Drosophila melanogaster: one gene and its partners. The protein of the gene in region 1 interacts with the protein of each later gene in a pairwise test. Each region holds a gene or a part of one and is shown in the gene's direction. Other genes may lie near its edges.

Region 1 (7,141 bases):
TAGTAATTTAACTGAATATATGATATATAATTCCAAAGAAGATGGCTCCAGATGTGAGTGTGTAAGACATGGATCCAGCTGATTTATGGTCTGGAGGAATTATAATTCCCGGATCATTATCAGGCTTATTGCAGTCAATGCATTTCCCATTGATATACACTTGTCCCGGCGTAGCTGCAATAAGGAAATGATTAGCTAAAAATATCATATATATATTTTATTATTTCATTAAATAATTACCATTAACAGCTGCCAGCAGGCAGAAAAGCAGCATCAAAGTTCCGGCGACTTGAAGAGCTTTCATGTTTTTCCTTGGGGATTTCGAATAAATCTGACTGCCAAAGTGCGAGTGCTCTGCTTTTTATATGCCATAGTACATATAGTATTTGCTATATTATATATATAATTGTTTATAATTATTTTGCGGGATTTTACATAGTTATTTTAAAGAAATGTCTGGAAAGGAGTGCCTATTAATTAGTTGTTTAATTATTGTTATTTATTAAACAAAAAATCGGTAAGCTGTATCGATTTTATTGCTAAACCATACAGTAGCAAGGCTGATCTATTTGGATAATAATGTAATTAATCAAATCATAATATGATAATATAAAATTTGTATTAGTCTTTAAAACATTTATTTGAATTAAATACGGTATTCTCCATCGCCTAAGATCATTTTCAATAATTTGTTTCTCATTCCAGATCTCTAAACTAACAAATAACAAATATTAAGCTGACTTTAAGCGTCTTTTAATGACAAGTGATTGTTTCATAGTTTGTTTTCCTAGAACTTTGTAATACATTTTGCAATTGGAATACATTTAAGTGGTTTGCCTGAACCTCAACTGCCTTTCAGTTGTTATCTATAGAAATCAATAATATTTCCCCATTACAAATAATATGTTGTTTTGTTTGGAATATATTTAATATGGGCACTTGATTCTAGGAATTTCTATTACATTTTCGACTTAAAAATATGTGTGGCTGTGTGAACTTCAACTGGCATCCTTCATTCTCCGCTGCCCTTAGGCCCTCACATTGCAGACGCGGCAATCGCCATTGATGATGACATTGCCAGGATTCAGGGGAGTGGCTGTGTTGGAAATATAATTAAAATCATAATTAAATAACTTATTTAGTTTGTAAATAGTTGGCATTACTCACCGTTGGCCAGAGCCAGCAGACCCAAAACGAAGGCGAGTGATAGGAATTTCATGTTGTTGGTTTTTGTGGTTGAATTCTGAGCTTGACTCCCGCGTATTAGCCGTTGACAACTGATGCTAAGTGTTGAGAACAACACGCTTTATATAGTCATAGAGCAGCCAAGTGTACCGATCTGTCTTATCAACCAACTGGCAGCGACACCGGGAAAAGTCTGGCCGAGATTGGGATTCTCCCAAGCTCAAGCCAAAGCCAACACCTCCATCGAGAAATTCCCGAGTGCAGCGGTGCGACGTTCTCAATGAAATTGAGCGTAAACAAGTGCAGACTGATAGCCCCGAGCTGCGCGATTGGAAGAGGGAAATCCAAGCTGGTCCAGAACGCGATTCTATTCACGTGCAAGGTGGCCAGATTGCAAACCTGATTCCATTTGACTTGGCGGCGCCCCATGCGATTCGTTTTTCCCAGTATTGCGAACCCGTTTTAATGCGTTCAATTCCGCCGAATCAATAAACTGTCATATTAGCACACAGTTTATTAGCAAGTTTTATGCAAAAAAGGTTAGCCAAGGTACTTGGAAAGATTATGGTTTTGGATTGGCAGGGAGTCATAGTTTTTTTTTGTAAGAAAGTCAATATGGCTATGTAAATAATTTAAAATGAAATTCAGGCATAAAGCTCAACTTTATTTAAGTATTTTGAAAAACAATTATTTCTATAATTAAATTCTTACTTCTTTCAATTACTAAATACCAAAATTATTTAAAATTAGAATGACACCTAATGGTAATTTTTTCGAATTTTAAATACAGTTTCATTTATTTTTATTAAATAACAAGTTTTCTTATCTATATTCTGAAATAATTATATAGTTTTCATCAAAAATAAAATTATAACATTATTTTTCGTCATTTAAGGCTATAGGAATTTAGAGTATAGTATATACAAATAAATTAAGAAAAGGTTAATATGCGTGCAACAGTGCGTATGAGTAATGTCCATCATAAGAGGCGTGCCTTTTGGAGCCTTTAGAAAGTTTTTTCAATAGCAAGTATTTAAAGATCATATTTAATATGTATATATACATATTTGTATATATTTGGCTTTAATTTGCATTGAAATTGTGTTAATCAAATGCTTTAGTGAACATTTCTTGTTTAGCTACTTGTTTATATTAGCTGCAAGGTATTAAAAATACGAAAATAGTTTTGTTTTTTCACCATTTTATTTGTAATTGGCGATGTATTTTTTACTACTAGTTTTCATTTTAGTACAAGAGTGAGAGTATAAATATGGTGCTTTGGATTTGAGGTAAGTTTTGGCCCATCTTCGAAATTAAGGCGAGTACTTTCCTACTTTCCTACTTTCCTACTTTCCACCGTGCACATTGCAGTATTTGCAGTCCCCGTTGATTACCACATTTCCTGGATCGGGCGACAGGGGAACAGCTGCGGAAGAAATAAATAATTTATAAAGTAATCAAATAGCTATAAAATATAGTATTACTAACCGTTGGCCAGAGCCAGCAGACCGAACACAAAGACGGTGACGACTGAGAAGAACTTCATATTGATTCTGGTTTGGTTGTTGTGGCTTTGATTTGCTAAATGCACAAGCAATCGATTGAATTCAACTGATGCTCTTGGCTAGTTCGATTGGATCTTATATAGCTCAGCCTGGAATCTTGGAGCAGCAAATGTGCATTGGTTGGACGGAGGCCACTGATAACCCCCATCGAATCGAAAGCGCTTGGGAAAACACAGAAAGTTGAGCGTTCAATAGCATTTGTTTTGCGTATTTAAATCTGGAAATTCCAGTCCCGTGTTTATGGGCGTGTTATGTGAACCAACAGGTAGAAGCTAAGATTGCTTTAATGTTCGAGAGAAAACCATTGGAGTTCTTAGAAGTATTCAAAATAGTTGCAGTTCAATATAGCTTTCAATCATTTGTCTTTCTTTATAAGAACTGAATAATTTGTTTTTTGTTTTGTTTACAAACAAAGTTTGTTGTTGTTTTTTACCTCGATTTGAAGCACATGCACCTGCAAAGTTTTGCATATATTTCAATATAGAAATGTGTTGTGCTCAGTGAAATTGAAACCGGCTTATAACATTTTGAATACAAAGTCTGCACGTGCTACAAATTAAATTAACACGTATACACTTGCATTCAAAAACGAGTTCATTAAACTTACTATTGAGTATGTTTTTAAATAATAATATTCTGTAGTAATCTTTTTAACAATTACTACAAAGAAAGCGTTATATTCTTCTTGTAACCATTAAATGAAATTTTATACGCAGTCAATATAATATTTAAAAAAAAGTTAGAACTCAGGGAATAATTAACTAAATCATGTTAGAATATGGTTAATCTATAATAAATAGCTGAAATAAAATTGCATCAGCCGCTTTGTAAATTGTATTGATTTTAAAAAAAAGATGATAATTTATTATATTTTGAAAAGCACTCATTTCCTTTAATCTCCTACACAGGCAACAGTCAATAGTTCAGCTTTGTTTTAAAACAAAGGTGTACTCAATTCCAGCCAGATCGGTTTTAAATTTGTATACATTATATATATAGATTATACAGATTATAAATCTCAGCTAATCGGCACGGCTATAAAAAGAAGGCGACGCCGATCAATCGGCTTAGAGGGAATCATAATGAAGAGCCTGACGTTATTGGCGCTTTTGATCTTGGCCACGTTGGCCTTTGTCCACGGTCGGTTTGAAGGCCAAAAGGTTTTAACTTGAATATTAACCGTTCTTCTACCTAGGTGGCAAGGTGACCATCAACGGCAAGTGCGTAAACTGCTCCCATGATCAAACGACTACCACCACGCACAAGCCAACAAGTGGAAAAGGAAGTGGAGGTAGGACGACAGCCCGGCCAAGCTCGAGATCATCTCCAGCCCGCGGTCGCCCATCATGGGATGACGATGATGATGATGACCTGACCGGTGACTGGGCACTGCATCAATCGGCTGGAGGAACTCAATACATTGGCAGGCGTTCGAAGCGTCAGTCACGCGGTGGTCAGTACATCGATTTGGGCGGATCTGGCGGAAGGGGTGGAGGCGGAGGATGGGCAGGATCTGGCATAACCACCATCGATTCCAGTGGCTATCCCGGCGGAACACTGGTGCGCAATAGTGATTGCGTCGGTTGCAATATTCGCGGATAAAGTCAATAAATTATTGAAACACTAAGAAATTATCTTTTTTTTAAAACGAAGATTGTTTAAACTTATGTGGTGGAGGAATCATCTGTAAACCAATATTCGAATTTTTTCTTATAGTCTCTATAAATGATTGCGATTTAAATACAATTTACAATATAGCTTTCATTTTATTACATTTTTATTATGATGCTAAATATAAGTTTTGATTAAAAATTTCTATTTGCCACCACGAACATTGCAATTCACACAGTCGCCATTGATGATAACATTTCCTGGATCGGGTGACAACGGAATAGCTGTTGAATAAGATGATTATTTACTTAAGTAATCAACTAATTAATCTTTGTAGGTTCTACACACCATTGGCCAAAGCCAGAAGACCAAGCACAAAGACAGTGACGATTGCAAAGAATCGCATATTGATTTTCAATTAATAGATCCGGTTTTATAAGCTGAACACACCGGACAAACGATCAACTACAACTGATGCTCTCGATTAAGGGAAACCGATCTTATATAGCAGATAGTCGGATCTAGGAGTGAATCAAGTGCCATATGAGATGAGAGCGATTGATTGATAGCTGCTGACAAAATATTTTTTTCGTGGGAAATATAGATTTACACTTTTTGTTTTGATTAATTCGAAAATACTAAAAATAAAAAACATCTTTTGTTTAGTTAGAAAGGAAATAGAATCCTCTATTTGTATGTATTTCTTTGATTTGCATTTTTAATTCTATGTATTATTCCAGTAAAAAATGGTAACAGCTTTTGTGTTCTAGTTTGTAGACTATGTCCTTTTTCGAATCCTTGGGTTGAAACTTCCTACTTGCCACCGTGGACATTGCACACCCTGCAATCGCCATTGATGATCACATTTCCTGGATCGGGCGACAGTGGAACAGCTGGAAAATAATAATAATAATAAAATTAGTTAAATCATCAAATAGGCAATTTCAATTAGTTTTACTCACCATTGGCCACAGCCAGCAGACCGAGCACAAAAACGGTGACGACTGAGAAGAATTTCATATTGATTCTGGATGGATTTCTCCGGTTTTGGATACTGAGTGCACTGGGCAATTGATTGGATTGAACTGATGATCTCGGCTAGTTGGAGCCGATCTTATATAGTCGAGCGTCGGATTAGAGAGCCACGCGAATTGGTGATAAGCCGTGTATTTGGGAAAACACAAGCATTTAATCGGTAGACTTAAGATGAAGTCTTCAAAGAAGGTAAAAGTACGCATATTTCAGACTTTTTTTTTATAAGAATTTTATATAAATTATTATTTTAATTATTAATTATTAATTTCAGGTAAATCGGTAGAATCATTGGTAAGAAGCATTTTTTAAGAAATAGCTTGTTTTAAGTTTTATATAAATATATAAATATAATTAAGTAAAAGTTGTAAAAGTTGTCGAACAAATTATGCAGATGAAATGAGACAATGGGTATTCTTATATTTATATATAATTGTCAAGAAAAGCAAATTTAATGATAACCGAAGACATTAAATTATTGATGGCATAAAAATCTGTATATTTTATCACAAACATGATAAACATGAGCTAGAATGTAAAAATCAAAACAATCTAAAAATTCTATATTTTACAAATAAGCTTTCATTCGATTTCTAGCTAGCAATAAGCAAAGTAAGAAGCTTGTGGAAAACCCCTGTCAAGAGTTATCTGTAAATTGAACTGGTTTCTGGGGGCGAATCCCGCACCTATCCACCCTTGGTTGTGCCTCCACTGCAATCTGGTTTTCATAACAAAGCGAATGGGAATGCTTAAAAGCTCACAGATTCCATGTGTCTCGAATAGATTCGTCTTGCACGCAGATTGAGAATGAAGTGCCTGATTCTGTCCTTTGCAATTTTCGTTGTCCTGGCTTCCCAGGCTACGGGTAAGAATCAGATGGGCGCGCCTTTCAATGTCACAATTTCGCTTATTATTTTATTATTCCGCAGCCGGAAATGTGATTATCGGCGGAGTATGCCAGGATTGCAGTCCGCCGGTGGCGGAAAACGTCGTAGTCGGTGGCCAATCCTACAGGACGGGTAGGCCGGGCCAGGGAACGGTGTATATCAATTCCCCTGGCGCATATCTAGGAGCTCTCGATGGTCCCATTCGGCGAACTGGCGCTGGCGGCGGAGGAGGCGGTGGCGCCCAGTATCCGGATGGTTACAGTGGTCGTCTGCCAGGTGGCACTTACCTTCACAATAAGGATTGCGTGGGCTGCAGCATCAGCGGGGGCGGGGATTAACGAAATTATATTGTGATTTGTACATAAAATACCTCGCATTTTTTAATTTTCGGGCATAATTTATAATTCTTTAAAAAATCTGAAAATTTGGTATAGTTACTTTATGTCATATTTTATAGAATCTTATTGGTTCAGACCTTTATAAATGTCCTTTATAAATTTTGATAAAATTAATTTTCCAACTGTTTTTTGAGTTTCGTAGAGACAAACATTTTTAATTAAAAAGTAAAATTATATAAGAGCTATTAAGTAATCAAAGCTAATAAAAAAGTTATAAATCAATTAGAAAATCAAAAAGACCCTCGTTTAATACGCTTATTAAACATATGATGGCATTTTATTACCAATTTAAAATTTTAATTTTTCCTTTTCATTTCTTTTTATCAAAGCATTGTTTATTGGTCGGAAAAAAAAAGTTTTGTTTGCGCAATATACAAGTTTACATACTTTACTTCCATAGAATTTTATTAATATTTGCGGTATTCGACCATAATTGAATACATACATGCACTGAAAATACTTT
Region 2 (7,447 bases), on another chromosome or scaffold:
TCATCGGCATTGCACCTGGCGATAACCTAAGCATGTCGAGATTCAAGCAGCAGAGGTCTGTTGTGCGATTTTATGGTATCGTTTATCTGAGAGGCGCGCGTAGCTGATCGCCAGTCATTGTGTGGGCAGGGGTAGAGTTAAGCCGCAATCGGTTTTAATTGATGGTTATGTCATTACTCAACCTCGCGTCGTCTTTTTGCCGAAAAACGCTAGATAGCTTCAAATTCAAATAATACTAGTATGCTATCCAATGGAAAGACATCATTTTGATACCTTTTTTAATCACTTCAGGGCCCGAGGGATGCACCCAACTACTACATAGCCTGCCAGGCGCCGCTGGAGAGCACGACCAGCGATTTCTGGCGCATGATCTGGGAACAGCAGTCGCGGGTGATCATCCAGGCGACGGATCTCAGTGAGAACGGAATTGAGAGGTGCGCCGAGTACCTGCCACCGTCGGCGACTCTGGACAATCATAGCAGCTATGGCGATTACCAGGTGACCCTCAAGCATCGCGAAGTCAAGGATCGCTATGCCATTTCCACATTGGTTCTGAAGCGAGTGGATGGCGAGGAGAGCCGTGAGCTCACCCACTACTGGTACAAATGGCCTGAGGCGGGTGTACCGGCCGAGGAGGCGCCCATCATCGCCATGCTGCTGGAAGCGCGATCCTCGCTGAAGTCCTACTCCCTTGAGCAGGCCAACGAGCTGCGCGAGAAGTCCGCGACCCTGGAGACGTCAATGGATGCGGACGGCAGCAAAGCCGAGGCGGGCAGCACGTCCAGCCACGAGATTAATGGAAACATCTCAAGTCGAAGCGGAACACGAAGTCAGCAGGGGTAGGTTGACATAATCTCCATCCATTCATATCAAAGCAGTTGTTGTGTGTTGCATGGCTTTTTAATGTTCTGTGTCTTAACTTCTTCATCTCTCCCCCTGCAGACCGCTAACCGTTCACTGTTCTCCAGGCACGGGACGAACCGGTACCATTATAGCGTCGGACATGGCCATCCGCAGTCTGGAAACACCGAAGCGGTCCGTGGACATCCCCCAACTGGTTTACTACGTGCGACGCGGACGTGCCAGCGCCGTACAGACCAAGGAGCAGTATGAATTTATCTACAAGGTGGCCAGCATGTATGCGGCCAAGATCACAAATCTGTCCAATGACAACTGAAAGCCAGATGGCAGTGTTAGCGGCAGAGCCCATCGAGTGGAAACCGAATTTGCGATTGAGTTCACCTTTCACCCTTACAGCACTGATCAATGGGACCCTTTGTAATAATAGTAGCTATGTTTTATACGAAATATTAGTGTAAATTAGTATTATGCTTGAATGTTGGCACCTAATTAAGCGTAGGCTTCGTTGTATGTCGGGCTTTAAATATCATTTAAATTGTATGTATTCCTTTATTATTGTGATATAATCGTACATTCGTATATCTCCTGATAATCTGTTGCATATTTATAATGTCAATTTTTGTTTTTGCACTGTCACGCGCTTCGGGGCCATATAATCCGGAGCAAATGATCATTATTTGGAGCTCTCCTTGTTTTAAGAAAGTCAAATATGTAATCAAACAATGTGTGTATCTATTTTAAATGAGCTTTAATGTACGTAAGTTATTTTTAAGTCCGAGCTGTACTATACTCATATTATTGTAAATTACAAGAAAAAATATGTCCAGCAGTGGTTTTTGAAGTTTTAAATTTCGCGGGCTTCGCATTTAAGTGAGACCTTTTTTGATTGGGTTTTAACTATGAACCGATACTACTGCACTTCTGATCTTTCTCTTATTTACATAAAATTTCTTTTGGTTACTAATTTTTTCAAAGTTAAAAAAAAAAAACAAGTTTTAATCTCTTAATTTCGTTGAAAACTATTTGAGTTGTTATATTTATTTGGTTTTATGTGTGCAGTGGGAACAAGTTAAATTATTGTAGATCTCTGGTCACACTAAACCGCGAGTGTTTTTTGATACTGGCTTTCGATAAGATGAAGTTAACTTATATTTTGTTAATCTGCGCTTTTGTGGCCGCCTCCGCTGCCAGCGATCCGAAAGTGAAGATTGGCATTAAGAAGCGGGTGGAGAACTGCACCCGGAAGGCCAAGGGCGGCGATCTCGTCCACGTGCACTACAGAGTAAGGGAAATCAGATAAGGAAGATCTCTAGCCGACCTAACCCCGAATTTGGAATCATTCTAGGGAGCACTGCAGGATGGAACAGAGTTCGATAGCAGCTACTCCCGCGGCACTCCCTTCTCCTTTACCCTGGGAGCTCGGCAGGTGATCAAGGGCTGGGATCAGGGAATCCTTGGTATGTGTGAGGGTGAGCAGCGAAAGCTGACGATTCCGCCTGAGCTGGGATACGGAGCCAGTGGAGCGGGTGGCGGAAAGATTCCCCCCAATGCGGTGCTCGTCTTCGATACGGAGTTGGTAAAAATCGAACCGCGCTCTGGATCTGAAGAGCTGTAAAGCGAATAGGGCCACAAATAGGCATTCCATGCTACACCCAAAGTTTACTTTCAACTAAAGTCATAAACATTTAATGCTCAAATATTTAAAGTAGTAATTTGTCTTGTTTCTGAAGTGATGCCACGCCACGACCAATAAATAATAATGTCATTCCTTTTATACTAGACCAAATTGTATTTATTGCAAGAGCCCCTTACTTTTGGCGTCTCAGCCACGCTTCCACCTCGTCGAAGTGACGCCGCATCAACCGATGCTTCTCCAGCGTGCTGCTCTGGATGAAGCGCTCGCCACAGGTGCCGCACACGAAAGGACATTCGCCGGTGTGCTGCTGGAGATGAAGCTTCAGGTCCTTGGCCTGACGGTAACTCTTCTCGCAGTAGGTGCATTTGTGCGGCTTTAGGCCGCTGTGCGTAAGCATATGGCGCTTGAGCTTATCGGAGCGGGCAAAGTCCTTGCCACAGACGGTGCAGTGGAATGGCTTCTCGCCGGTGTGCATCCGGCGGTGCGAGGCCAGCTCTGAGTGGCGGGGAAAGGCCATTTCGCACAGATCGCACTTGAAGGGCTTCTCGCCAGTGTGGCGTCGCATATGGGTCACAAGAGCGGCGGCTGATCTCGTCTCCATTCCGCACAGGGAGCAGAGGAAGCGCTTAATTGCCTCCTTGCGCTTGCGGTCGCCGTTAATGTGCACATCGCGAATATGATTGTTCAGGCGCGACTTCATCTGGTACGTGCGATCGCAGTGTGGACACTGTAGCAGCGGTATTCCGTCCTCAGTGGCATCCTTTTCCAGGTCACCGGTCCCTTGCGTGTGTCTGTCGCCAGTCGGATTGCTGACGGAAGACTTGCTGTGTTGCAGGAGAATGTGCTGCTCTAGGTTCTCTGGCCACATAAACTTGTAGGAACACTTGCCACATGCATGCTTCTTTTCTGTACTACTACACTGACCTTGCCGGTGGTGGTCCATAATGCTCTGAAGCAATAATGAAATTGACATAATGTATCTATACTGGTTAAATGTAGAATACACATTTAAAACCTCACCTTGGAGACACATTTAAAGATGCAGTCGTCGCATTCGTGTGGCATTTTGTCAAAGCGATGCATCGTCCGCTGATGCTGGATCATTTCGAACTTCCGCTTGCACTGCACGCTGCACAGCTCGCAAATATATACGGGGCGACTGCCCACACCGGGCTGCATCTCGTCTTCGGTTTCCGAATCCTCCAGCTGCAGCTCAAAGCCAGATTCGTTTGTTATTGAATAATTATGCGGGGAGTCGTAGCTCTGGTGTAGCGACAGGGATAGCTTAAGCTCCAACTGGATATGGGCTCGCAGATCAACAATACGCTCGAAATGCAGATTGCACATGCGGCAAGTAATGCGCTTCGCTCCGTTTGGCCGCGAGGTGGCAGCAATCAATGTTTCTGCCAAGGGAATGTCATGCTCTTTCAAACCGTGTCGCTTCAAGTGTTTTACCAAGTAGTCGTGCCGATAGAATTTGCGACTGCACCACTGGCAGGGAATCAGCTTGGATTCCTCCGCATGTACGCTAAGCAGGTGAACGGTGAGGGATTTCTTTTTATCAAAGACCCGTTTGCACTCGGAACATTCAAACGTTTGATTCTGTAAAATTCATAGATGCAATGGGTCTGTAGCCTGAACAATTCTTAGATTAACTTACTGTAATCCTGTGTTCGCGGAAGTGTGTTTTCAGGTTGTGTTTCCAGCGAAAGCGTAGCGGGCATTTGTGGCAGAGAAATCGCTTTTGTGCATTCCTACACTGCGACTCGTTGTGGTGGCGCAGCAGCTGCAGACTTACAAAACGTCCATCACATCGCCCGCAGACGTGAGGAGCGTCTGACCAACTGTGACTTTGTCGCTGATGGTCATAAAGCTGATATTTTCGCGGGAACTTTTGCTGGCACAGCTCGCAGCTGTAGGTGGCTTTGCGCGACTTCTTTCGCCTCTTGTGCTGGTCATCGTGATCTCCGTCCAGGTCGCTGTCCGTCTCCGAGCTGTCCAGATCCATTTCGTAGCCACTTTGGTTCGTTATCGAATAGAAACGCTGATAGATACCCGCCGCTAGATCCTTGCGAATCAAGTTGATTAACTGCTCCTCACTGAGGTCCTTTGAATCGGGATAAAACAGCTCTGCCAGCTCATGGGGCTCCATATTTGGCCGACCGCACAGGCTAACAATATCGGGGTGCTCCTCCAAATGCCGGCGCAGATCAGCAATCTTGTTGTATTGGCTCTGACAGATCATGCACTCAATCAGCTTGTAGCCATGCGGTTTGCAGAGATTCAAATCCACAGCCTTGGCCTTCTTGTGCTCGCTAATGTTGGCCGATCGTTTTGAATTCCGGTGAATTTTTAGGTGTGCTTCGAGGGCTTCGCTGCGGCTGAACTTGCGAATGCAAAGGGAGCAGTCATATAATCGAGTTTCTGGCTTATGGACGCGCATTTCATGGCGTTTCAAGAAGTCGAATCGTTTAAAACTCCTAGGGCAGTCGTGACATTTATATACAGACTTTCTTCCTGTTTTCCACTTTTGAATGCGATTATACAGTGGCAAATTATCCAGGGAGCTGCAAGATTAGTTAGTTAAAATAAAGTAGTTGGGAAATTCCAATTGTCACCCACTCTTCGTCTTCAAAGTCCGATGTGGGATCGTCATACGCTGGCTTCTCCACGCTTCTGGGTTCCATTTCCAGCTTCACCGTTTCAATCATGGTCAGTGGGTCCACCGACTTTTTGCTCTCCATGTCCGTTTCGTCCGGTTCCGGTAGTTCGGAACAAGTGATAGTAACATCATTTTCGCCACAGTCCTCATCCTCAGTCTCCAGCTTGACTTCCACATGCTGCTCAGCACACAGCTCCATCGGCGCCTCCTGCAGACAGTCGGTTGACGTTGGAGCAGCACCGTTCTTTAGATGCTTCATTAGAAGTTCGTTGGCGGCCATCGCCTGCTTCACATAGCAATAGGCACCCATTAATTTTTTGGTGCATCCACTGCACAAGCATTGCGGAAATTTCTGACTACCAGTTGCATCCAGCTGAAAGGTAAATGTTTCATTTTAGTTTGCATTTTTCGTAGATTTCGCTTCTTAGAACTTTGTTTACATTGATTTCGGTTAGCTCGCATAAAATCTCCGAAAGCAACTTGTCCGGATACTTTTTCGAGGGCGTGGCCAGCTTCAGAAGGTTGTCGGTGTCCGTGGAGTCGCACGTGCGACAAATCACCGGCAGCTTCATGGCGAACAAATTTGTTTTGGCCAATTGAAAGCTTTTTTAATTTTAAATCAACAATCAGAAAATCAACATTATTGATGGTATGACCTTGATGCGAGAGATGGAAAATACCGTTCGGTCATTAAAAAAATACCACGTTGTTAAAAAATACAGCAATTAATTGGGTGCGTTCAGCAGAGTCCGCTAATTATTTTCAAAGGGAAATATTACACAAATATTTTTAAAATAAACTGAAGAAATTGTTAAATTATGAAAAATATAAATCAATATCCACCAGACAAACAATTAATACAAATATTACAGAACCATTAGAAACTGTGATTAAAAAATCACGACTTAAAATTTACTGCTGACGGTGACCAATTGTTGAATGTGAAATCAATAGTGCACTTTTATTACAATAAATCTACAATAGAGCGACGATAATTTGTTATTTAATCTAAATTGGAGCTTAAATTAGTTTGTGGCGTGTGCACGTTTAGCATACGCGAAATCCGGCAAACCGAAACAGAGCCTCGACCCGATTAGATCCAATCCTCTAGTATTTCTTGATCGTTTTCCGTATGAGGGCAAGGCGCTGTTTGTGCGCCTCCGTGACAGCTGCCCGCTTGTAGGGACGCAGTTCGTCCGTACCGAAGCCGGGTATCCACATGTTGTACTTCCGCTCAAAGTGCAGCTGCACGTCGCGCACCTCGATCTTGTTAGACTTTCGGTGCTTGGCGAAGGCGCTCGTCGACTTGACGGTGTCCTCGACAAAGTCGTCGATGATCTGAAGCAGAAGCTCCTCAACATCCTCGTCCAGCTGCGTGGTGGTATCCACCTCTCGGACGAGCTCTGTGAGACGCGGTTTGGTAAGCATCTGTAATTCGGAAGAGAGTTAAACTAGACCCTGGCGTATTCCGTGTGCACTCCATAAGGCACGCATCTTACGGGAGTGTTCTCGGAACCGGCGGCGGATGATGTGTGATTGGATGACTTGCTACCACCAGATATGGGGCCCGTTCCCGTACCCAAACCGGAAACCGGTCCGCCGTTCTGCGAGGATGAGTTGCTGTTGTTGGTCATCGGACTGTGCTGGGAGGGCGAGGCCATGGGTGGGTCGTGGAGCAGTCCGCTGGCGGACGATGTGGAGTTGTGGTTGTGGTGCAGGTGGTGCTCGGCGACGCCGTTGCTATCGAAAGTGGTAAAGAGATCCGACATTGCTTTTGGGTTTCTTCAGAGTCAAATCAAGTGGGTGGTAGGTCGGTTGGTTGGAAGTGTTTGGGGAAAGTACAGTAAGTTGGGCGGATTTTTGGGGAGTGGGTAAGAGTGCAGAACCAAAGCCAAAAGCGTTAGTGTACTTGTTGTTGTTGCTGCTTATGTTGTGTGTCCTCCTGCTTTCTCAACTGCAGTCGGTGATTGTGTGTGCGTGGGTGTTTGGTTGCAAAGCGAAATGTAAGTAAAAGAATAGAGTGGTCAATTTCACGCGTGCGGTCTTAAGAATCCGTCGCTTTGTGTGTTTACTAAAACTAAAGTGTTACTTAGCAGTTGCTCTTAGCGCATGCAACACTTACAATTATTGCGGTTTTAACACTTTGATCTTAAACTATTACTTTCCTAAATTACTAAACAAAATAAAAATAAGCGGAGCAACTACAGCCAAATCAACAGTATGGCCAGTTGCAGGCGACTCTGAAATGCCCGCTGGTGCTATAAAGCAATTTGGTATATTTACGTTTA
Region 3 (8,071 bases), on another chromosome or scaffold:
TACTTTTTACTAAATTGATTAAAAATATAAAACCGGAAAGTGGCATATGTTACAATCGAAAAAAAAAAACTCCATTGTGCTCCACCGTCGGCCTTTGGAAAAATTGAACTTAAAACATGGAAATGGAAGTAAATAAATAATCTCGCATTGTGTTCCGCTTGCGATGATGACGATGCCGCCGATTCTCAGCCAGTAATGTCAAGCCCCTGGTCTGGAGGTAATAAAAGCAACTCCGAGCGATGGCTTTGGGCTCAGTTTGGATTCGGAGCCAACGAGCGCAAGATGATGTTACTGATTCCCGTGATTGCAGTGTGCCTTTTCGGCCTAACGGTACTGCGTCTATAAGTAGGACCAACTAAAGAAATTGAAGAAAAAAAGTGTTACGAAAGTCAAGTGTTTGAAACTCTACAAAAAATCGCATATTTAAATGAATATTTAAATTAAATTAAATGATTAATTTAATTGCTCATTGCTCGCATATAAATTATCCTGATAATTCTATTTTATCGCAATGTTGACAGTTTGAATTATTAGTTTTTCGCTTTTGTGCGTAATTTTCTGATTTAATCCTACATCTAAATTCGAATTCTCTGTACTTCTTAATTGTTTAATTCAATTTAAAATCTAATTAAAATGGCAACCATGATAATGATAACCATGAAGTGCTATAATGCATTCCAAATGCCACTTTATATCCACTATAAATCCATATAAAATCAATTAGATGCACTAATCGCAAATCGGTTGTTCCCAATTTCGCCAACAGATGTCGTACAAGGTGGAACCATTGCCCGATTCCTACGCCGGCCTGGGCGAGGGTCCCCATTGGGATGTGGCCAGGCAGAGCCTGTACTACGTGGATTTGGAGGCAGGCAGCCTGCTCCGCTACGACTATGCGCAGAACAAGGTCTACAAGACAAAGATCGAGGGCGAAACCTTGGCCGGATTCGTGCTGCCGGTGGAGGGACGTCCGCAGGAATTCGCCGTCGGCTGCGGTCGACGCGTGGTGATCGTCAACTGGGATGGCGTCTCGCCCAGCGCCAAGGTGGTGCGCACACTGTTCGAGGTGCAGCCACTGATGGAGAAGAATCGTTTGAACGACGCCAAGGTTGATCCCCGTGGTCGCTTCTTTGGCGGCACCATGCGCTACATTGGCGATGAGTTCGAGTTCCGTCACGGCGAGCTGTACCGCTGGGAGGCCGGTGGCCAGGTGTCGGTGATCAAGGGCGATGTGGGCATCTCCAATGGACTGGCATGGGACGAGAAGGCCAAGAAGTTCTACTACATCGATACCACCGACTACGAGGTGAAGTCGTATGACTATGATTTCGAGACCGGCGTGGCTAGCAATCCCAAGGTTATATTCAATCTGCGCAAGAATAGTCCCAAGGATCATCTGCTGCCCGATGGCCTGACCATCGATACCGAGGGCAACCTGTATGTGGCCACCTTCAATGGCGCCACCATCTACAAGGTTAATCCCAAGTGAGTAGTTCACTCTAACATTCGTGATCGAGTGTTAAATGTCGTACTTCATTGCAGCACTGGCAAGATTCTGCTTGAGATCAAGTTCCCAACCAAACAGATTACCTCCGCCGCCTTCGGTGGCCCCAACTTGGACATCCTGTACGTGACCACTGCCGCCAAGTTCGATCAGCCCGCTCCAGCTGGCACCACCTACAAGGTGACCGGACTGAACGCCACCGGCTATCCCGGCGTCAACCTGAAGGTCTAGGAGCTGCAATCTCTATCTATCCTTAGCCGCAGTAAAATGTACCAATCGAATCCAAGTGCAATTATATGTTATGCTCTTTAACGTTTTAAATCGCGTCTATCAATGTTTTGCATGCTAGTTAGGTTATCCTTTTTTGCAGTTCTAGTTCAAGGTCAGCTTAAGGATCACATTCTCTCCTGGGAATATCCAGGATCATCATGTAAACTCACAAAGAGGTTGACTATGCTCTACTTTACTCTGATTTCAAACAACAATCTTATCAGCCGCAGACACACGGTAATCATCCGCGGATCTTATGGTCATTTGGAGGACGCAGTGCTCTTATGCTTCTTTATTAATCAGTGGTTCTATAAACAATTTTATACTTATCGTCTAGTCTAAAATTAAAGATAGCAAGGTGGCGTAAAAAATCAGTCGATGTTTTGGTGAATGGAGATCATCCACTCAATTTCGGTGTAGATAAACATCTGCATGACCGTCTATTCATCAGACTCCGATTCCGATTCGGACTCTTCTTCATCGTCATCATCGTCGTCGTCATCGTCGTCGTCGCTGCCGGCGGAGCGATTTAGCCGCAGCATCTCCTGGAACTGGTGTACACGGATCTTTTGCGGCACGATCTGCAGCAGAAACTCCAGATTCTTGTTCTTATTGACCACCTGGGAGAGATGCTCGTACTTGAGCGCTTCGCCCGGTCGCTGGCCGAATTCCTCCGTGTATGCCGCGCCCGCCAAATGGCGAACGAATAGCTCCGTGCACTTGGTCATCAGGAAGAGCACCTCGTTGGTGATCAAGCCCGTGTCCATGGAGCTCTTCATGATCGTTCGCACGCGGCTGAGGGGCAGAAAGGTTTCCGCGGTCGGTGGACGCTCCACGGGTGGTTGGCTCCTTGGTTCGCCCATTTGTTTACTTAATTCCCAAGCAAACTATGGCTTGGGAATTTTTTTGGTTTTAGAGCTGGGCTCACAAGTGGAGCTGTGAAACTATCGATGTTACAATCGAGGCATGAAATTCGTACCTTTCTGAGACACTATCGATTCTTTTTTTTTATTTGCTATCGATGGTTATGGTTTATGAAGACTTAAAATAAGTAACCGCAGGGCTTCCCTTAAAACGAACAATGCTGGCATACTTCTATTTTTGCAAGGAATTGGATGTGCACAATAATATATGTGTTACTTTCTCAGAATTAAGTTATAGCGCTAAATATATAAAAATTGAGAAACCCATTCGGATTTGCCTATACTTTCAGCTCTAGCTGGAGCGGGAATTTAACCAAATAACGTTGCGCCGATATGCTATCGGTAGCCACAACAAGTATTTAATAAAAGTTTTCCAAATATTTCAATTTATTAGTGGAAAAACCGCTCTAAGCAAATACCTTTAACTTAATCAAGAGATTAGGGGTAAAACGATTAGGATCTGCACGATTTATAAGGAAACATTCAATTGCAACAACATTTAGACAAGTCAATATTATCTACTTTTGTCTTTTCAGTATGCAATCAACTTTGGATTTTCACACTTATAGCTTAAAAATCTGTCTTCATTTTCGAACTCACATATAAATAAATATCAATAAATTATTATTGCACTTGATTTGTTTGCAGCAACGTTGCCAGACTTCCGTAATCGATGACTATCGAACCTATCGCTGCGCGGCATGTGCAACACTGCGTTTTCTGCTGCCCCCTTTTGGCTGTTGTTTCGTGTGTTGACCAATAAATTTTTCGCGTACTTTTCCAACTTTTCAATTACCGAACCGCAATTGCCGCCAAAATAGATAGCCGATAGCTAGTCGAGCGAGTAACCAGCGAGTTTTTGGCCAATTCACGCGACGATCAGGGGCAGTGGAAGCAGGAGCAGGATCTCGACCAGATCGCCAGGAAGCGACATTTCCATTAGAGCGGTTCAAGTGAAAGCGAGTGAGCTGCACGGCACGAGAGAACGAGACAGACAGACGGCGAGAGTGAGAGCGAGCGAGAGAGCTAGTTAAATCCTTTCGAGAATTCCAGGAATTCAAGCATCCAAAACAGCTGCTGCTGCCGCAAAATCATCAACATCATCACCATCGCTGTTTGTGAAACGTTGTTCAAGCAACGGCGTGCCAACAAACCAGTATCGACATTTAGATCTAGATTCGAATCCCCTATCCACATAGCTTGTGGGTGCACTTTTCCAGTTGGCCAATCTCAACCAGCAATTAAAAATGGCCGCTGCCGCTGCGAGCGCAGTGAATGCAGTGAACGACTGCTTCAGCATCGGATCCACAGTCGTCTGTACGACCTGTTTCAACGAGGAGGTGGAGGGCGAGGTGCTGGCCTTCGATCACAACACAAAGATGCTTATCCTGAGTATCCTTTTGCAACGAAATCCCCGAAATGCATACCCACACACACACACAACTTGCCCGCCGGGTGAAAGCGAGCACTTTCTCCGGCTGTCCACAGGGATCTCTTGAGCTGTCTGGACAAAAAGTCACACTGTCCTTTAGATTCGTATATAATTCTAATTCACACTCATCTTAACTGATAGCATTCACATATCACCTATCTCTTATCAAACCCATTGTTTACTGCTTGACAATTTGGTTCTCCGTACATCGTATATCTTTGCCCCCCGTTCCTGCTCTTCTCTTCCCTTTCCAACCGCATAGAATGCCGATCCAAGTCCACGGAGGAGCTGAGTGATATCTACGCGATGAACCTCTCGCTCTGCAGCAACGTGCAGGTGATCAAGGAGTGCAACGGCAACTTTGATGATCCGCAAAAGCTTAATCTGGAACAGGTAAGCATGCCAGCTCTGACCACTTACATAAATATATATATATATATATATATATTGCTTATACAGGTCAAAATGCGTCTGAGGAAAACAGTTGAGCGAAGACAGGACTACTTGAAGTCTAAGAATGCTGATGTCAGTCCAGAGGCGCAGGAACTCTATAGAGCGATAGCCAAACAATACGGGGTAATGACCTCTTGCACGATGCCCTATCATCATTAACCATTGCTATTTCTTTTACTATTTTGTAGTACAATGAAGTCTCCTGGCAAGGACTTAACATACAGATCCTAAATGAAGTCACCATCTCGCCGCCGTACCGAGTGGACAACGTGGTGTCCAGCTCGAACAACGAAACTTCATGCAACTACATCAAGCGCATCGTAAGCAATTGCCCAACCGCAGCACCTTCAAGCAAACTGTCATAAATCCGAAATGAAGTTCGTTAAATCTTTAATCAGACTAGCAAACCATTGTAACTTAAACCCAACGCAATGGCTCAAACAACGATTTAGTTGAATTAATGTTCAGAACATTCTAGATTCGCTAATGTTTATAGGTTATTCATATGTCAAGATAGTCCTAAATATTTCAAGTACTTCCCAATGTGGTTTAGGGTTTGATTAGAAACAGTATTAAGCATTTTATCATTCTGATATAAACATACAAATGCGCAAAGTTGCGGTAAAAAAAAATAATGCTTTATGACAGAATTGTGGCTGGTGTGGTCGGTGTTTTTAAGTTCATAGGTTAATCTTTACTCCATCTTTTATCTGCAGATCAAACAGTTCTTCAACACGAGGCCATCGCCCGTCCCGGAAAGCGGAGCTGCGGCCAGCACCTCGTCACCATCGGTGTCTCCCACGTCCTCATCTCTTGCATCTGGATCGCCGGTTCCCGCAAACTAATAATAAGCAGAAAAAAAACACAAACAAAACAAAACAAAAAAACAGAAATGTGCTTCAAAAAAGAACAACGTATTGGTTTTTTAATCTCTCGGGTGGGCGCATAAAGTTAACACTTTGATGGGTATTCGAAAAACGATTCTGAAAAAACTATCAGTTTTTGTGGCTTTTATGGTACTTTGAATTCAGGACCCACAATTTCTCATCTCGACTTAAGGTTGTGAAAAGTTAAATCATTTTTTTCTAATTATTAGATAATTCAATTACACAATTTCAATTAGATATTAGATATTTGCATTTAAATACATTTAAAATTTTAATAAAACTTCTTTTAAAAATGGATGCCCATGTAGCATTAACATTTGGCTATAAACAAGCTAGCAGACATCACTGTCCGATAACCGATAGCCCGATTGTTATGTATGGCTTGTGGTGGTCAGCTGCAAGAGCCGCGCCGCGTTTTTAACAAATTTAGCGAATAAGCAATAAATAACAGACAATGGCCATGGAAGACGTGCAGAAGCACAGCGTGCACACGCTGATATTCCGCTCCCTGAAGCGCACCCACGATCTGTTCGTCTCCAACCAGGGAAATCTGCCCGAAATCGACGAACGTTTGTGAGTATACCTGTAGTTTGCAACTTACGCATTGTTAATTTGTGTTTTTCGTTAAACAGAGAGAAGTTGCGACGTTCCATCAAGGCGAAGGATGGCTATGGCCTTGTGCTGGACAAGGTGGCGAAGATCGGCGAGGCCAGGAAGGCATCAGGAGCCCAAACGCCGGGCGACAAGACGCTGGCCATCACCGATGGCAGTGCAACGGATGCGGCCAGCGGTGCCGGCAGTCTGGTTAAGTACAATGCGGGCGCCAGGCCAGCGGAGAAGACAGCGCCACTGGTTACCGGCACACACACATCCCTGGTGCGCGCCTCCCTGGCGAACAGCAATGCAGATATGAGCGCCAATGGCGCCATCGCCAGCCATCTGCAATTGATACCGAAGAAGGCGCCCAGCATACCCAAGCCCAAGTGGCACGCACCCTGGAAACTGTCGCGCGTCATCTCCGGCCATTTGGGCTGGGTGCGATGCATCGCCGTGGAGCCGGGCAACGAGTGGTTCGCCACCGGCGCTGGCGATCGTGTGATCAAGATCTGGGACCTGGCCAGCGGCAAACTGAAGCTCTCGCTCACCGGTCATGTGAGCACTGTGCGCGGTGTGGCCGTCAGCACGAAGCATCCGTATCTGTTTAGCTGCGGCGAGGATCGGCAGGTCAAGTGCTGGGATCTGGAGTACAACAAAGTCATACGGCATTATCACGGTCACTTATCGGCTGTTTACTCGCTGGCCCTGCATCCCACCATCGATGTGCTGGCCACCTCCGGTCGCGATTCCACTGCCCGCATCTGGGACATGCGGACCAAGGCGAATGTGCACACACTGACGGGCCATACGAACACGGTGGCCAGTGTGGTGGCGCAGGCCACCAATCCGCAGATCATCACCGGCTCCCACGATTCCACGGTGCGTCTGTGGGATTTGGCCGCCGGCAAGAGCGTCTGCACGCTAACCAATCACAAGAAGTCCGTGCGCAGCATAGTCCTCCATCCATCGCTGTACATGTTCGCCTCCGCCTCGCCGGATAACATCAAGCAGTGGCGCTGTCCGGAGGGCAAGTTTGTGCAGAACATCTCCGGCCACACGTCCATTGTCAATTGCATGGCGGCGAATAGTGAGGGCGTGCTCGTTTCGGGCGGCGACAACGGCACGATGTTCTTTTGGGACTGGCGTACCGGCTACAATTTCCAGCGGTTCCAAGCGCCCGTCCAACCGGGCTCCATGGACAGCGAGGCGGGCATATTCGCCATGTGCTTCGATCAATCGGGCAGCAGGCTAATCACCGCCGAGGCGGACAAGACAATCAAAGTGTACAAGGAGGATGACGAGGCCAGCGAGGAGTCGCATCCGATTAACTGGCGACCGGATCTACTGAAGCGCCGCAAATTCTAGACTCCTAGTTTGTAAGCCTATCCATAATAGAATACGATTTTCCAAACGATTTCATTAAAAACAACTTTAAATGCGCTCGAATCTTTGAGTAAGCTAGTTTCTGGTCAAGAATCCTGCATCCAAATGCGCAGGTAAGTCGATGGAGATGGAAATGAAAGAGTTGTCAGTTGAATTCTTGGTATTTTTATTGGGTTTTTTTTTGTTCCGTTTATTTTGTACACATAAATAAATTGAATTATTTGCTGCATAAATAATAATAGCATATAGCGGTAGTAGATTAATAAAATATGATTTCTTGTTGGCTCTCTTCTCATTTGATTCGGTTTTTCGAAACGGAAACGGATGTGGGCGCGGACGCGGATCTCGATTCCTTCGCTATATAGTTAACAAAGAAAAAGCACTAAACTGTGTATTATTGTAATTTATTAATTAATTTTATGTTGTCTAGTCCTTTGCATACATTTTTATCATTTCATGTTTAAAAATCACAAATAATTGTTTGAAACAAATCTTATATTTTTCATCTCCCATACATACGCCTTTGCCATCTCTTTCGATTTGCTGCTCGAATATATGCATATATATATATATATCCACCGCCATCGTCTTCAAGTTTATCTTGCGTCTCGTTTGGTGACTC
Region 4 (9,194 bases), on another chromosome or scaffold:
TGCTTTGAGCTATCTTTTTTTTAATGGAGGAGAGAAAGGGGTATATGGAATGGAGAATTTTTGGGATGGGTAGCACCAATGGATTGGGTTTTAATGGGCGCAGCGATGCGGGGTGGCTTAAAAGAGGAGCAACGAGTTTAGCCTCTAGCAAAGAGCACAATAGCCAATTTCGATTTATGGCACAAGCTCTCCAAACAACAACAACAACAACAGCGACAACAATGAGATTTTAATTTGGTTTGTTATGTTTCAAGTTCAAACAAAACGGCACATTCGATTGGCAGCATAACGCCGATAACTAGTCGATTCCACAGCAGAAAATAACATTAAGAAAAGTGAAAATGCCTCTACAAAATTGCGGGCCATGGAATGAGGCTGTGCCTATGTGTGTGTGTGTGTGTGTGTGTGCGCAAGTGTGTGCGTGCCTGTGTGGGCGTCTCATTGTCTGCGATTTAATTTTTGGGCACACTCAGTTCTAAGGCTACCAAAGGATCAAAAGGATCAGGGACAACAAAACGGTACAATAACACATTGAAGGGGGGATAATAAACTACAAAAAGCATAAAAAAGGAAAATACCCAAAGAAAAACTTATAGCATAAAGCAAACCAAAACGGGGATATACAATCAAGAGTACAATGTATTAACAGCAGTTTCAAACTTTTCAAATTACACATTTCAATTTCTTTCAAAAATGTAACTTAATTTACTCGCCTAAATAAAAATTCAGAGTATTCAGAGCCGAATATCAGTTTTTAGTATGTACATAAGATTTAGCTTTAAAGGTCATACTAGTTAAGTACATTGCATTCCCATTAGCCGATAGCCCAAATAAAATAAAAACGAATAGCGACTAAGCGACAGAAAATGACAGAGACAGCCATATACAAAGCGAGGGAGACAGACAGAAAGAAAGATCAAATCGGGAGCTTTTTGACTACTAACTTACCATTGGTGTGAATGCGATGGCAACTGGCGGTTATGTCGGTGGTGAGGGTGAAGTAGGGTATCCACAGGTCCTCGATGCTCACGTCCCCGAAAGTGTCGTGGATCGTCTTGTTGAACTCTCGTCCGGAGAACATCGATGTGATCGGGTAGGTGAGGTCAAGTAGTTGTAGGAACCATTTCGTCATTTTCTAAAAGAATTTACATATATACATTAAACATATATATGTACATACGACGAATGTGTATGAAAGTAAAGTACTAACCTTTGACCACTCGCGCGCCTTCTGCGTTACCGTGGTGATATTACGCTCCGAGCACCAGAGAGCTCCCATCAAGGCACCGATGCTGACGCCGCCCACCATGTCAACAGGTATGCCCGCCTCCTGGATGGCCTTCAGCATACCAATGTGGGCAGCTCCACGCGCTCCTCCGCCGCCCAGCACCAGGCCAATCGAGTTGCCCGTAAGCCAGCGCGCCAAACGCGAGAAGTCGGAATGCATGTTTGGCTCGGACAGCAGGACGCGACTATAGAGATCATTCTGAAAGGTAACAAATAGATCGATGATTAGCATAGACATTGCAGCCAAGGCTATTGGCCAACTTGTGAGCACTTCCTCATTTCTTACTTACAATGCGATATTGACTTTTGCGCGTGAAGATCCGCTTGACGCAGAGCACATGGTGGTGCTTTGTTACCCAGGGTCGGGCATTTAGCCAACTAAGCGTGTTGGCCGGCTTGGCATTGCTGGCCTCCGGATATAGCAGGACGAGCTCCTTTTGCGTTCGCATCGCCAGCCGGTCGATCTCGCGTTCGAACTTTCCGACCAGGTGTGATCGATCGCCGAGGCCCACGATCAGGATAACGTCAGCCTGTCGCATGCAGCGCTGTGTCCACGCGCTCAGCGAACTGTCACACTGATAGAGGGTGATGATGTTTCGGTCCTCCTGCTGCGCCAGCCACGAGGTTAGACGATACTCGTTGGCTGCCTCAAAGATGTTGGAGCCCAGCTGCTTGCGCACCACATCGGAGGTCAAACGGAGAACGGGTCCTGAGCGAGAAACAGAAGAGAAACGTTACAATTGGCGGTTATATCGGAGATTCAGTGCAGCAATGTGAAACGTTACCGGACTTATCCATCGTGTTCTGAATAAATCTTAGCGGAAAAGAAGTGTAAAAGATTCTATATGCTGAAATCTCGCTATGCCTGGGACTTTGTCCTCTTATTACCTTTTCATAGTTTTTATATTTAAAGTGAACATTTAACTATCATAGAACCTTGTATAGCTACAGAGACATATATATCCCTTTCATTCTTCTTAATCAATGACAAATAATAATGTATAGATAGTACTATTGTCCCACAGATTGGAGCGCTCACTAGCTTTATACGAACCTATGGCACAGAGCGAGTGGTAGAGCTCGTAGGTGAAGGGCGTCATCGGCACCTCGTCGGTGATGGGCACCAGGGCCACCGTGGAGTACTTGTGCGTGACGGGATTGGCCTCGACGGGCGCGCCCGGCGCCCCGCTGCCCGAGCGCGTCTGCATCGAGCCGAGGAAGCGGTGGCTAAGGAAGCTAATCAGCTTGGTCACCACGATGGGGTAGCGCAGCTTGATGGCATTGAACAGGCCCTCGGGCAGCTTGGCCAGCTCCGAGTCGCGCACAGCCATCACCGTCGTGGTGCGCGACGTTTCCGTGATCATTTCAACGATGCCCACAAGATCCCCCTTGCCGTATTCGCCGACGATCTCCTTTTTGCCACCAGGATGCGTGATAACCGAACGCATTCGCCCGCTAAGCACAATATATGTGCTGTCGCTGCTCTCGTCCTGCCGATAGACAGCTCTGCCCGATTCCAGAAAGATCCAGTCCAAGGCATAGTCACACTGCCTCACCAGAGGCGATAGACGGCGTACTACTCCGTTGCCCAGATCCAAAACAATGCGTGGTCGTTGTCGCATGATCCTGTCGAGGAAATAAAGCAATCATAAAGCAATCATTTTACTTCATTATGTAAACGCCCAAACTTACTGGTAAATAGCTGCTCGTCGGATGAAGGCTATTCTGGTGATGCTTCTCGATCGAATGGTATACGCACTGGCCTCTCCCGTTAGCATGGCCAGTCCACCAACGATTTCGCCGGGATGCACAAAGTGAATGAGCATGTCGCTCTTATCCTGCTTGGCCCGCGTGGCATCCTGATTGCTCTGGTAAACAGCCAATGTGCCCGTCATCACAAACCAAACGCAAACATCGTCCGCATTGCCCTCCGTAATCAGGGTGACATTCGGCTCCAGTTCCCTTAACTCTACAAAAGGCTCAATGATGTGGGAATCCTCCTCGGACAGACCCAATTCCTTGCGTAGGCTGTCCACCGCTGAGGATTGCACCAGGCGCATGTCTATCGAGGTTGTCACACCGGGTGTCTGTAGACACGAGTGCGAACCATCGGGTGCCATCAGAGTTATGGAACTGCGACGCGTGGATAGGTTGCCCACCGAATGCTGCTGCTGCTGCTGATGGAATAGATCTGCATTGGGCGCATCGCCATGCACCTCGGTGAACAGATTGGTAGTGCCGTGAAAACTACCATCCGGATTTGGATTCGGATCGGATAGCGTGTGCTCCTCGCGCGAGTGTCGCGATGGCGAGGATGGTGGTCGAGTTACGGTCACCGAGACACCCGATGATCCCGTTCCCGAAACAGCGGACTGCATCAGATTCATCTGGCTGATCACCATGGGCGGCCCATTGGGCGCCTGGCGTGAGGATTGCGAGGTCTGCGAGTTAATCGGTCCACTCATTGTGGATACGCTCTTGTAGCGCATGTGATTCTGCACCAGTTCGGCATTTAGACCGAGGTAGTTGCGCAAAGCGGTGAACAGTACGCGTTGTAGCCGGATCATAATCACCTGGATGACGCGAATCATTACGTCCGGATTGTCCTGGAACACCTCTTCGAATGCCTGCCAAAGCAAGGAGGAAAAAAATAAGAAGTAAGTGAGTGTTCAATGAACATTTAGTTTAGTTAGATAAACTACCTGCATGGGCAGACGAATGACCACCGATTTCTCAATGGCTTTGGCGGTGACCGTCTTATAGTAGCTGGGATTCCCCGACAGGACATCAATAAAGCTGAGCAGCGATGTCACCGACTCGCCCTTCCTGACCGTCTTCAATGATAGTGTGCTGCCATCGGCATTGGAGATGTACACATTGATCATGCCCGATTGAACGATATAGACGCTATCGTCCGGATCGGTTATCTTAAACAAATAGTCGCCGGCCATCAGTTCCAGCAATTGGGTGTGCTTGCAGAGCCGCAAAAAGACCGGCTTCTCGAAATGTCCAAAAATGCGAATGCTCTGGAGCATATAGAGTGCATCGGGCGGAACTCTATCGCTGCCCTCGATTGTCTCCTCCAGATACTCGGCTGGCGGCTCCACGGTGCGCATCTCTAGCGGCATATTATCCCGCCTCAGCTGGAGTATCCTTCTCGCGAAACGCATGACAGCACGACGCTTGTAGCCCTTACCGCTGCTGTACATTTGACCGCTCACGTTCTTCATTTTGCGCAGCATTCGACGGCCGTAGAATAGCATCTTGTCACGCTTCCGGAAACGCAGGCCACGCATATCGCCGGATGAATTGGTTACGGTGCTAATGGAACGGGCAATCTCGTCGCGCAAACGCAAACGTGCCATTCGTTTGAAGTATAAGAACCAGGCTATGAAGAGCAGGCTCATCATTACCAGGGCGAAATACATGTACACCTGCAAAGGAATTTGTATAAGATAGCGCGCAATTAGTTGATTCCTCAGTTCAAAGGCCTTCATTATAATGGCTGTGGAGTTTGGTAGAACTCTTTGCTGCAACCACGTGAAAACTGTCTGATTTCCTCGGAAGTTGAAATCGATGTCATATCGAGCTGGTTCCAAACTTAACATTCTTAATAGAGCTATTAAAGGCTAATATAAAGAAAATCTATATATATATATAAGAAAATGTTTTTTTTTTTTTTTTTTGTTATTCTTGATCTAAAATTGAACTAAAAGTGTTTGAAGTGTTTGAAAGTGTTTTTGAAGTAAAATGAAAGGGTAATCTAACTATGATATAATATGCTTTTGATTCTATATGGTTTTTCACTTTTGCTGAAATGCAAAACAAAAAAATGTGAATTCTTGTACTAATGTGCCAACTCCTTTGCTAAATCACGTTTCTTAATTATTAATTAATTGGTTAATTAGTTTCCCATTCTTCTTCAGCTTATGACATTGAAACGAAAGGATATAAGGGTTTTTGATGTCGTCTCCAATATGATTTTCATTTCGTATTTTCCACGTCGCCCAGTTATTTAGGATGAATTATTTAGCACGAAGACACTTGGAATTTCCCAAAAGCAAGTGTCACGCCCGTGTAATCAAGTGCATCAGCTGTGTTTTGTTGTTATTTTCCCTAAATCTTGTTGTTGCACTCGGCACTTTGACATTGAAACGGCGACGCAACGTCGCTGCACATACATATGTATGTATGTATGTATGTATGTTTGTTTTATTGTTTGTTGCTAGCGGTTCTGAGTGAGTTGTTCTTGTTCGATGCGGTTGTTGTTGTTGCATTTGCTGTTTTTGTTGTGGCAGTAGTTTCTCGGGCAATTTGTTGTTGCTGCTACCCATTTGTTATTGTCTGCAGTTTCCGCATTTGATACTACACAGCGCGAAAAATGTAGCGTTTTCTCGCACTTCATTAAACGTTAATTATAGTGGCGTAGTTTCGATTTCTTTCGATAGAAATAAACATTTTTTTTTAATCTATAAGTTGCACATTTTCTTTCTCACTGTGCACCTTACTGTTTGTCTTTTATTACCCCCAGCAATTATTGTTTGTTTACAGTTTATTTTTACAACAGGTTTGCAAAATGTACAAGAAAAAATGCCATAAATACCAATTGACTCAGTCGGTCTAATTGGAAGCCGAAGCTGCGCCACACACGCACTTATCCAATTGGATTTGCTTTGATCTAATCGGACAGCACACACATACACACACTCGCATAACAACACGATAATGATAAAATTCGCGCAGTCACAAGGCGGCTAAATTGATTTGGCCCCAAGGGGTTAATTGAATTATTGAAAACTGATTTCGTACGCACCCCCCGCCCACGATTGCACGTGCTTCTGATTAGCAATCGGTTATCATAGTTATCAGCTCGGGTGGTTTAGTTTTTCTTTTTTTTTTTTTGCTTGCTTCGGGGTCGCCTGGGTGTCATTATCAATACTATGGTCGTGTGGTGTTATCATGTGGCTACTGTAGTCAGTGGTTTTTGTTTTTCATTCGTTTTGTTTTATGTAAGGCCACAAAACAATTTCGATTTGTGGCGACAAATGAAAACACGGAAGTTTCCCCTTTTCTCTTCCGGTTTTTCTCTTTTCTTATCATTTGGCTGGGTTCTAAGAGAGATTAGAGTCCTGAAATCCACACTTGCCTTAGCCTGTATCGTTCTAAACTTTAGCTGGGGTCTAAACTTCAATCCGCTGATAGGGTTTACTAGAACTAAGTTATGGTAAACTAGTCAGGAACAGCGACTATTTCGATTCTTCTACCTATAAATCTAAGTACTTAACCTATGATGTCTGGCCGACATTTATTCGTCAAGCTAACATTTTGTAAAAATTTTTTTTTAGAAAAATTTCCATAAAGATAATGGGATTACACATTAAAAAATCGCATACAAAATACAGTGGAATTTTCTAACAGGTGTTTGCTCTCAATACTCAAGTGGGTTTTCTTGAATAATGTCTGTTTACTTTACTTTAACTACTTAGGTCTGCTTTATCGCTCATTCTGTGATTTTTATCAGGGGACCTAATCTTTATGGATGTTGTCACAAAAAAAAGCTATATTCATAATAAAATTCTTGAATTATATAAAAGAATTGTGACGTGAGTACGTAAATACTTATTAATCTTATATTATATGTAGCCTGGACATGAACCTAAAACAGCTGTTATCCTGCTCAAGTAAGATCCACATGCTCTCTTTTCGCTCACGTTCTCTCTCCCGCGCGTTAAGCACGGACACAAGCCCGAACAGCTGTAATCCTGCATCGCATTTTTTTTTAAGCTTTCCAGCTGCCCTTCTAATCCTCGCGTCCTCTCGCTCTCGCACATATTGTCTTCCAACTGACTCACTCATATTGCAAACAAACAGCAAGCCAAAGTCAAAGCAAATAAAAAGACAAAGAAAGGGTGAAGTGCACTTACCGTTGCTGTGATCTGCTTGGAGACATATTGGCACCACGCGTCCGAGAATATTGTGTTGTAGCTGCCGCTGGCGCTGGCGCGCAGCATTTCCAGGACATCCATTGCGCTCCCTTACGCGGCCAGTTTTCCAATGACTCTGCTACGCTGTCCTTTCTCCCACGAAACTATTCGATTTGCTGTTTAGTTGACTCTTAATGTTGTTGTTGTTCTGCCTATTTTGGCTTATGTATGTTCCGTTTATTTGGTAAATACGCAAGTGTATGGATGGGACGGGGTACAGGGTGGAGGGGGCAAAGTAAAATCACAGCCCTTTGTTGTTGCCACCGTCGCGTTCTCTCTCTCCCTCGCTCACCTACTCCGTCCCTAGCTTGTTTGAATATGTCGCGCTCTATCGCACTCACATTTACAGACACCCCCGCCCCACGTTTGTCATGCCTTTTGTGCAATAATTGTTATAATGCACGCACCGTACCGCACAAACGCACTCACAGCCACGCACAGCGGAGAGCACAGTTTCTTTTGATTTAGATTATAAATCTTGTTGTTTTTGCTGTTACGAGAATCATCAGAACCAAAGCAATTGTTGTTTTTTTTTGTGGTTTCTTGCGGAAATCTTTCGTTTTGGTTATATATTGTTGTTGTTGCTCTCTCTCTGTTTTATTCTATCTCTCTCTCTGTCTTGAAGGCGGAGGCGGGGGGTGGTTTGCCGTTGGATGGGGGGGCGTGGCAACGTGTAACGAAAATGTTCTTAATTTACTGAGCCGAAATAAACGCGCATTTTGCTATGTAACTACAAACTAATAAACTGAAATGCACTCTAGAATTATTGTTATTGGTATCGATTCGCTTTGATGGTGGATTGAAAAACATCGATATGCCCGGAAATCGATTGTTTCACAGCTGTGTAGAGCAGCCCGCTAGAGTGACCATACAAAGTCGACTTTAGAACGGTTATTTCAAAATAATGTTAACCTTTCGAAAAATTTAGGTGTATGCAAGCCGAATTATTTGATTTGGAAAATAATACTTAGGGCGTCCATATCAGAAAAAACGTTTAGCCAATTTTAAAATTTGTGTTAGGCACGTTATGTAGTCAAATATATATAAATAAATTATTCTTATTATTTATAAATATTATAATAATATTTAATAATAATAATATAATATATATTCTTATTCTTATAAATTATTATTATTTTAATTTTTACAAAAGTGATATGCTGATATGCTTATAAATGTAAGATTCTTGTTTATTTGACTTTTTTTTTAAATTTCATTATCATTATTTCTTGCTTGACAACCCTATGTTAAGTGCGACACTGCGTTGACAACAGCTAAGAACATGGCTGTGGGGCGACAAACTTAGCAGAGCGCGCGCTGCTAGAGCTTAAATTGTATTTGAAAACAGTGCAGGTGAATCGAAAATGTCTTGGCATGCAGTCAAACATTAATTTGCGAGCATAATTAACTCCGCTTAAGATTGCTGGTAGTCAAGGAGCCGTGAAGAGCGGAGACGGCCGCTGGTAATATTCAGTGATTAACAACTGTAAAATCTAAAATCAGTATTAATATTCATGTGTGTTGATTTAAAGGATTTTGGTGAAATCCGGACCCGAATCGGAGCTGAGGTCCGAAACTAACGTGCAACATCCAATAAAAGCAAGTGCAGCTTGGGTTATTAGAGCATAAAGCATCTCCACCAGAGTCTCGGTTGCCAGCCAAGCAAAACGGCCGAGACGCGTCTTTCGGGTGGCCAGCTGCAGTCTCGGATGCAGTTTTTGGCTGCAGCTGCAATTAAATATGCAATGCACTTAAGTTATGCACATTTCCTTTGCCCAGGGACCGTTACGATTTCGTATTTTAAAAGCCGCGCGAAAGCTAACAGCGCTGTTGGCTAGCAGACGTCTGTTTCTGCTGTTGTTAGCCAACAGCCAACAACAACAAACTGGCTGTTGTTTCGAATGCACTGCGATCTTAGCTCTT

Evidence for each region.
Region 2: the proteins of BomBc2 (region 1) and CG14715 interact in a two-hybrid assay, tested with the Drosophila melanogaster proteins (one large-scale study listed by BioGRID).
Region 3: the proteins of BomBc2 (region 1) and Tango4 interact in a two-hybrid assay, tested with the Drosophila melanogaster proteins (one large-scale study listed by BioGRID).
Region 4: the proteins of BomBc2 (region 1) and sn interact in a two-hybrid assay, tested with the Drosophila melanogaster proteins (one large-scale study listed by BioGRID).

What each region holds. Positions count from the first base shown.
Region 1 is NT_033778.4:18,382,263-18,389,403, reverse strand, and holds BomBc2 (bomanin bicipital 2), read left to right. Parts: upstream 1-3,814; 5' UTR 3,815-3,832; coding exon 3,833-3,890; intron 3,891-3,945; coding exon 3,946-4,352; 3' UTR 4,353-4,565; downstream 4,566-7,141. Other genes in the region: BomT2 (bomanin tailed 2), read right to left, coding at 8-174, 241-304; BomS3 (bomanin short 3), read right to left, coding at 1,029-1,096, 1,168-1,219; BomS2 (bomanin short 2), read right to left, coding at 2,532-2,611, 2,674-2,731; BomS4 (bomanin short 4), read right to left, coding at 4,566-4,645, 4,710-4,767; BomS1 (bomanin short 1), read right to left, coding at 5,175-5,254, 5,324-5,381; BomBc1 (bomanin bicipital 1), read left to right, coding at 6,201-6,258, 6,323-6,618.
Region 2 is NT_033777.3:11,672,286-11,679,732, forward strand, and holds CG14715 (uncharacterized protein), read left to right. Parts: upstream 1-1,935; 5' UTR 1,936-1,996; coding exon 1,997-2,143; intron 2,144-2,206; coding exon 2,207-2,476; 3' UTR 2,477-2,638; downstream 2,639-7,447. Other genes in the region: CG42327 (uncharacterized protein), read left to right, coding at 292-839, 943-1,177; CG18476 (uncharacterized protein), read right to left, coding at 2,670-3,446, 3,518-4,099, 4,158-5,064, 5,120-5,532, 5,600-5,731; Taf12 (TBP-associated factor 12), read right to left, coding at 6,267-6,587, 6,659-6,928.
Region 3 is NC_004354.4:12,015,237-12,023,307, forward strand, and holds Tango4 (transport and golgi organization 4), read left to right. Parts: upstream 1-5,831; 5' UTR 5,832-5,923; coding exon 5,924-6,042; intron 6,043-6,101; coding exon 6,102-7,431; 3' UTR 7,432-7,510; downstream 7,511-8,071. Other genes in the region: regucalcin, read left to right, coding at 283-330, 767-1,485, 1,543-1,735; Chrac-16 (chromatin accessibility complex 16kD protein), read right to left, coding at 2,215-2,637; Lsm12a (LSM12 homolog a), read left to right, coding at 3,945-4,089, 4,392-4,522, 4,589-4,705, 4,771-4,902, 5,299-5,427.
Region 4 is NC_004354.4:7,960,229-7,969,422, forward strand, and holds the start of sn (singed), read left to right. Parts: upstream 1-3,914; 5' UTR 3,915-3,944; intron 3,945-3,989; coding exon of another isoform or gene 3,990-4,721; intron 4,722-7,211; coding exon of another isoform or gene 7,212-7,313; exon of another isoform or gene 7,314-8,008; intron 8,009-9,194. Other genes in the region: sws (swiss cheese), read right to left, coding at 949-1,135, 1,211-1,486, 1,578-1,996, 2,342-2,913, 2,980-3,914, 3,990-4,721, 7,212-7,313. UniProt on the Drosophila melanogaster protein: Acts as an actin bundling protein. May have a role in the asymmetric organization and/or movement of cytoplasmic components. It has a role in somatic cells during the formation of adult bristles and hairs, and in the female germline during oogenesis.